2 linked regions of the Xenopus tropicalis genome follow. The protein of the gene in region 1 purifies or fractionates together with the protein of each later gene. This does not show direct contact. Links are inferred from orthologs where the notes say so. Each region holds a gene or a part of one and is shown on either strand. Other genes may lie near its edges. The genes, in order: stradb and cab39.

The links.
Region 2: the proteins of stradb (region 1) and cab39 purify together in Homo sapiens (affinity purification with mass spectrometry; 3 studies listed by BioGRID and IntAct, counting the BioPlex papers as one, with this or other methods). This does not show direct contact. The link is inferred for Xenopus tropicalis from reciprocal best matches to the Homo sapiens genes STRADB and CAB39.

What each region holds. Positions count from the first base shown.
Region 1 is NC_030685.2:53,862,692-53,866,518, forward strand, and holds part of stradb (STE20-related kinase adapter protein beta), read left to right. Parts: intron 1-522; coding exon 523-631; intron 632-934; coding exon 935-1,058; intron 1,059-1,704; coding exon 1,705-1,876; intron 1,877-1,955; coding exon 1,956-2,060; intron 2,061-3,827. UniProt on the Homo sapiens protein: Pseudokinase which, in complex with CAB39/MO25 (CAB39/MO25alpha or CAB39L/MO25beta), binds to and activates STK11/LKB1.
Region 2 is NC_030681.2:128,008,545-128,012,371, reverse strand, and holds part of cab39 (calcium-binding protein 39), read left to right. Parts: 5' UTR 1-37; intron 38-753; 5' UTR 754-782; coding exon 783-896; intron 897-3,586; coding exon 3,587-3,805; intron 3,806-3,827. UniProt on the Homo sapiens protein: Component of a complex that binds and activates STK11/LKB1. In the complex, required to stabilize the interaction between CAB39/MO25 (CAB39/MO25alpha or CAB39L/MO25beta) and STK11/LKB1.

The sequences.
Region 1 (3,827 bases):
TTCTTACCCTTAGATTTGTTCCTCTGTAGCAACCACATAAGTATTTTTCCTTAGCAACCCCATATGTAGCTAAAGGAGAACAGAAGGTATAATGGCTGGGGGTGCACCCCCAGTGTTTATAATTGCTTACCTCATACCTTAGGTCGGTGCTCACCTTTAATAAAAACTGCATTAGCCCTGTCCATCTTCACCATCTTCTTCAGCTTCCTCCATCTTGTCTTTGTTTCAGTCTGGGCAGTTTATGCACAGTAGACTGAAAGCTGAGTTTAAACACAAAAAATTAGCTTTTTCACTCTTCTGCACACACAACTGTCTGGGCCCAAAGAAAAGAAGACAGAAGAGAAGATTGCAGTGAATGAGCTTTTACAGAAATACCCCAGGCCAGAGCAGTTTTCTCATAACGGAAGCACCGACCCAGGGTATCACAAATAAGCGATTATAATCATTAGGGGTGCCTAGTGATTATACCTTTAGTTCTCCTTTACAATAATAATTTACAGTGTTCTTCATTTTTTTCTTCAGAATGAGGTGGTTATGTCATCATTTTTTCGGCATCCCAATATCATGGTTTCTTGGAAAATTTTCACCACAGGGGCTTTGCTTTGGATTGTCAGTCCTTTCATGGCTTACGGTAAGTAGCTGAACCAATGTGGAATTATGCTCCCTGTTAGTTAAAGGTCTAACTTCCTGAGTACCCATCATTCTTTGTATTAATGTAATGTAAAAAAACATCAGTCAAAGCACAAAAGCACATGCAAAAAAAAAATTATCCAACATTAAGTTTTAGGGACCTTTTGATCATTATTACTTGTATGGGCAGTCAGAACACCCATAACCAGCTCTGGACTACCTTCCATTGTAGTCAACAGTTGTATATGTCCTCTGTAACAAATAAAAGAATGCAAGCGAATAATGTTTAACCTTTTACTCCAAGGTTCAGCTAGTAGCCTCCTAAAGAACTATTACCCAGATGGAATGAATGAAGCTCTAATAGGAAGCATATTGTATGGAGCATTAAAAGCACTTCATTATCTGCACCAAAATAGTTATATCCACAGGTAAGTAAATCAGAAAAAAGTTGCTTGGAAAGATTGGATCACAATTTCTTGAGAAAGAAATCTCTTTTTTTGCTGATATTGCTGGAATTGTAGCAGGATCATTGTTAAGAAAGTCATGATCTAATGGGGGGTATTTAACACTTAATTGTCTGCAATGTGGGGTGTCAATCCAGTAATTCTGAAAAAGGACAGAATCTAGGAAACTTTTCAGTAAGTGGGACAAAAATAACTGGTCCTGCAAAATCCTTTTACAGACTTTCATACTTTTAGCAGTGAGAAGTAGTAGTTGGAAGGCAGAGAACATGTGCCAAAAAACAGGAAATGAGTGTGTGGGAGGAAGAGAGGACACTGGAAGAATGTGTGGGAGAGAGCATGGAGATGCTTGGAGAAGGGAGAAAAACATTGGATTTTGTTTAGTGGGGTGGGGGAGACTTACATTACTGCTGGGACAAAAGGAAACTGGGGACATTTTGGCATTTGTCGTTTAACTTTGCTATGAAAGAATAACCTGTACAAAAATACTTAATTTTAGTTTACTACTTAAAGCGAATTGGTTGCTTTAGAAACTTCAAAAACCTCACTGTGTTCAGCAAGTTAAACATGCATAAAATTCATCTTAGAATCTTTGTTTTCTTTCTTTGGTAAGAAATGTGAAGGCGAGCCATATCCTTATATCAGAAGAGGGTCTTGTAACTCTTTCTGGCCTAAGTCATTTGTACTGTATGGTGAAAAATGGAGAGAAAGCAAAGGTGGCATATGATTTCCCAAATTTCAGCACTGCAATGCTTCCTTGGTTTAGTCCTGAACTGCTAAGGCAGGTAAGTCAGCATAAAGTTAAACCCAGACAGGATTAGCTATGTGAAACTCATACTTTAATTGTCAAATTCCGTTCCTTAGGACCTCTATGGATACAATGTGAAGTCGGACATCTACAGTATTGGCATCACTGCCTGTGAATTAGCCACTGGGCGTGTACCATTTATGGACATGCACCGGACACAGGTATTACTCATCTCTGCTCTAAATATACTAGTCGTCATGTCTAGTTTTCAAAGCTCTCATTGAAATCTGCTATACGACTATAACTGAGAAATTGTTTGTAAGGATTTACTAAGGGCTCATTTGCTCTAGACTTGATTTTAGTGTCCGTAGTGTAATGTGCAAATGCTAAGATTAGTACTGTCCAAACAGGCCCAGGCTGGAATTCAAAATAGGCCCTTACAGTTTAAGGTTATAGAGGTCCAAACAGGAGCCCACCAGCCCACTAAATAGTGACTGTCTATGGCATCTTACATCAGCCCCTCTGGCATTTGCCAGAATCTACAGATTTCTAGTCTGAGCCTGGTCGCACAGGCTTCTATTTACAGTGAATTTTATTTCTTTTTTTATTTTTATTTAGTGAATTTGTTTTTGACTCCTGAGTGTGTGGCCCTGCATGTCCAGCTGTACCAAGCTTCAGCATACTGACAGGATTACATATATAGAACATCTGACTGCATTTCCAGTGACTTTTTAGCAAACTAACCTTTTTGTCACAAACTGACTTGAAATTGACCACAAATTATATTGACTGCAGTGTCCCCAAAGACAGTAGTCTGAACAATCTCTGTATGGACAAATACACTAATAACTTGACAAGTTACTTGTTTAAGCAGCTTTCATTTTTTTGTATTCTGTGGCTGAAGATTAGATACAAAATAGATTTTCATGGGATCTGAGGGAATATTGTGAGACAAGTAAAGGACAAGTAAACCCTACATTTTCCTACCATTTTTATAAAAGTTGGACACATTTCCCCTACCCGAACAATATCATTTGTATTGCATATATCCCCTCCATTCACCAGCACCATCACATTTTTCTAAAACAAATTGCAGCTTTTACCAGGCAGTTATTTTCACACAATTTCATCTGAAAACAGCACGTGTGCTGTAAAGTTCATGCAATAAAGAATGCAGGCTTACACAGGCAGAATTAATTTAATAAAAAGTTCTGCTTGGATTGAGCACTGTAATGGTTAAGCTGAGCTCAGGAGAGGAGGTTAGGAGAAAATACATGTCTCTGCACAGCAAGAGCAAAGTTTCTATGGAAACCAGCATTGCCATCTCTTCATTGGCTGCTAGACTATTAAGTAACCTGAGTTAAGAAGAACTGAGCATGCTCAGTTAGCCAGCAACAAAAGCAAATTTTTAAGGGAGGGGGCTTAGTGAGTTAGAGGAGGAGAAGGAATCCTAAGTGGGGAAGCTGCAGCCTTACTATTAACAGTTTAATAACTGGAGTGGCAGGTATTCAAAGATTTGTGGGGGGTTGCATGTCCTTTAATACTTTTCACTTTCAGATACTGTCAGATTTACAAACACGTACTGTACATTTAAAGATCAATATTTTTAAGAAAATGGAATCCAGATGAAAATATTGGTTTGTTGTTGTAAAGTGTTTGTGTAAGATACTCACAAGAATTTTTTTTATAATCTCAGTCTATGGGGATCGCTCTCTTGGAAGAGAAAATATTCTAATTTGTTTGGCCGTTGAAGACATTTTTTGCAAAAAATTGTAATTTGCTGAAAAAGCATTTTACTTTTCCCCAAGGAACATGGATTTTCCTAAATGTTAGTACAGGTATGGGATCTGTTATTTGTAAACTCGCTATCCCGAAAGCTCCGAATTATGTAAAGGCCGTCTCCCATAGACTCCATTTTAATGAAATAATTCATTTTTAAAATTGATTTCCTTTTTCTCTGTAATAATAAAACAGTACCTTGTACTTGA
Region 2 (3,827 bases), on another chromosome or scaffold:
TTGCTAGCCTGAGACTGGGAACCATTCCACCATTAAGGTAAATATATGGGCTTAGTTGTCCATTCACTAAACAGGGCAAACAGTGAAACTGAAAGTACAGTACTTTCAATTTGAAATGAAGGGGGGCTTTTTTTAATGCAGAGCTCATTATCTCTTTTTTGACTATTTTTAGCTAAAAGAAAAGGCATAATGGATTTTTTAACAGTCTAACTAAACAGGAAAAATGCAAGAAGGAAATAATTTCCATTAGATGAATACAAATTGAAAAAAAAAAAAAAAAAAAAAAAATATATATATATATAAGTCAAGCTGTGTGTCCACACAGGACCAGCACACCATTTCACAGCAATTCTTCTATTTATTCATTGGAACGCACAGTGAATTTTATAGATTATAATATATATTATTATATAATATAGCAATATATTATATAATATAGCAATGGCTGCTCCCTTCCTGTCTTTATACACTGTTTCAGGTAAAAAAGGGAATATCCTCCATAACTGGACTTAGTTTAGTTCCATATGTATGGTGCCGTATATTTCCAGTTTCCTTCAATCAGTTGCTAAAGGTGGAATGCATAAGTACAAACCATGTGTTTAATTCAACCTTCTATTTATTACTTATTTATTACCAAGTCAACCACAAATTACACAACATTATTTCCTTTTAGCAATAAGGCAATAGAAGTTTCCCATTGTGCTTTCAGACTGAAATTATATGAAGTTCTTCTGTATATTCTCTCCTGTGCAGAAGTGTAGAGCAGTGTTACCTCACGAACCATGCCGTTTCCCTTTGGGAAGTCCCACAAGTCTCCTGCAGACATAGTGAAGAACCTGAAGGAAAGTATAGCTGTGCTAGAGAAGCAGGACATCTCTGATAAGAAGGCAGAGAAGGTACAGTACTGTTGCTTATGCTCCTTATATAACATGTAGATGTGACTGGTTCCTTATAAACGCTCTCTCCTTATTACATTGTATTCTTCATCCCTCCACTGATACGCCTGTGAATTACCTTTTGATGAATTACAATTCAGTGTCCTTCCCCAAATGCACTTTATTATTATATAATATATGTATAGCCACTGTGCCTCCCTGCTGCCCAATACGTTGTCACTGCCACTTCTGGTTTGGTACCCACCTTTACATAATTTCTCTATTCTCATTTTCTTTACTTCACTTCTTATCCCTCATCTCTCTCTTCCTAGTCCTCCCATTACTTGTTCTGTTAAGACTGTCATAAAGGCACCACCCAGACAGTTTTGCTGGGGAGCTTTGGGGCTCTAAAGGACTTTTGAAATGAACAGTTGGCAGCTATGCATTCTGCTTTTGTTACAGAGGAGAGAACACTGCCATGTGGGCTAACATATTTAGTTGATGGTGGACTTTTCTGTTTAGTTCTTTTTGCCAATTCCATACTTTTTGTATACCAAATACTTCTAAAAAGATTGGCCTAAATACCTAACTGAATCTAATTCCTAATTTTTAAATCTGAGCAAAATTTAAAAAAAATGCATTATCTCATAAGGAATTGTAGCCATCAGTTGTGTAAAGTTTTATTAAAATGAAATGACTTTAAGGACTGTGGTGCATGGGATGTTTTTTCTCCCACAGAAAAGAAAATGCACCTCTTTATCTGTCATTGCTCCTAATAGCTGCACTGGTGAATGGAAAGTGCCTCTTTCCACTGTCTCCGTTTGTATCAATTTTTCTAGCATTTCGGGTAAACTCATCTACCCGTATACACATCTGGGAGGAAGCCATGTATTGCAAGAGGACATAGGCTTTGGAGATTTGCCAAGTACACTGAGTAGCAACAGCTCTTTACCATGTCTCTTCTGGTTTCTGGTATCAGTTTATCATTAGCACTCGCCAGCAGATGAAGCAGTGTCACAACAATCGCCACTGCATGACATCATGGCTGCAGTGGTCCTTGGCCTCATCCCTAGAGCTTGCACTAATTTTTATTGTCTGCCACTTAAGCCACTGCCTTGGTTGCTAGAGTAAGTGGGATTCTATTAACAATATAAATTCTTAAGGGTGAAGACACACTGAGCTACTAGTAGCAGCTACTTTTTCATGGCTTCTAAACTCCAGAAAATACCCTGCCATAGACAATACTAAGAATTGCATATGCTAAAACACACATAGAGACAATTATCAGTAAATGATCAGCATTTTCTATTTTAGTAGCCACGATAAGTAGCTTCTACTAGTAGCTCCATGTGTCTTCACCCTAAGGGCTGTGGCACACGGGGAGAGTAGTCACCTCGAGAGGAAACTTCTGCGATTTCAGGGGAAATCGCGGCGCTGCGTATGCCATCCCACTCGCCGGTGGTATGGCATTTCGGGGAGATTAGTCGCCCGCGACAAGGGAGATTTGGCGACTAATGTCCCCGTGTGCCAGAGCCCTAAATGTAGAACTGCAGAGGCGTTAAATAATATAAAACCTGAGAGATAAAAAAAAAAGTTGCACATCACACAAATGACACCGTTTGAGTAATATGGAGTGTGAGTTATAAATAAATCATATAAATGTAGCTAAACACCTGATGACGACCCCATACATAAAGTTCACTCTCAGTCTGCTGACCACATCCCGTGATTCACACCCACTAATCACGCGTATATAGGCATTTCAGATTGCGGCAGGCTCATCTCTCTGTCATGCAACTCTTTGTTATGTGTGGGTCTGTGTGTGTGTGTGACAAACCCCTTCCCTTCTATGTCACATGGCTGATGAACCCAGAACTGATTAACCTGCTGTTTTGTACCCTGAAACACAATTACATTTACATCAGGCCAACAGATGAAGCTGTCTGCACTTTCCTTTACTGACTTGCCTCCCTTTAACTAACATGTCATATCATTACTTTTCGATAGCACTACCTAGGAGTGTATTTTTTCAGCGTTCCTGCAGCACTAGGTGTAGAAAATGAAAATTTTGATATGACATGTTACATTTATTTAAAGCTCTATTTGTGAATTTACCTTTAGTTCCCAGGCGTTACATTTCCCAGAATGTTTTAATAATGGGTTATGTTAGAAGCTTCTGGGAATTGTTGTTCTGAAACATGTTGTGACCCATTATCCAAGGGCAGCTATTCGCCTGCATTTTTTCTATACAATTGTTCTTACTACAGGGGAATACCGGTGCTGGCAGAAATTATACAACCTTGCTACCTATTTGTACAAGCTTTGCACCTAAGGAACTGCTATGGAGAGTGGTGTTTATAGCACTGTTTGGCTGGCTATGGCCTTGACAGTGCCATGCCCCTGCAGTGCTAGGTCATGCTCACTCCTTCGGGATAAGGAGTGACGGTGGTTATTGAGATGAGGTTAAAATTGCACCCTGAGCCAGTCTGCATTGAATAAATCCATAATGAACATAATAAATGGAATTATAGTGGTACTTTAAGAAAAATTGCTGATTCAGTAAGGTGTGTGAGAGAGAGGTTCTGATATAAGGTTACCGGATGTAACAGCAAGCCTCCCATCTCCTCAATGACTAATCCCTTTTGTATTCTGGTTGGGAAGAGCCTGCTTGCCTTTATAAATTGCCTTTTCTGTGCTGTCTCATTTTGCAGCTGAGAGGAGGGTTGTTACCCCACACATACAGCTCCCCTGCCCTCCAAACCAATTCCCTTAGACGCCCTACTCCAGGCTCAAATGTCTCACTTGCTGCATACTCTGTCGACGACTTACACATCAGCAGCAGAAGCAAAGATGCAAAGAAACTGGCATGGCCCAAAAGGAGATCATTTGTTTCTGGGAAGCTGAAGATGGACAGAACAGCATTTTGTTCGGTTAATACATGTCCCCTTTCAC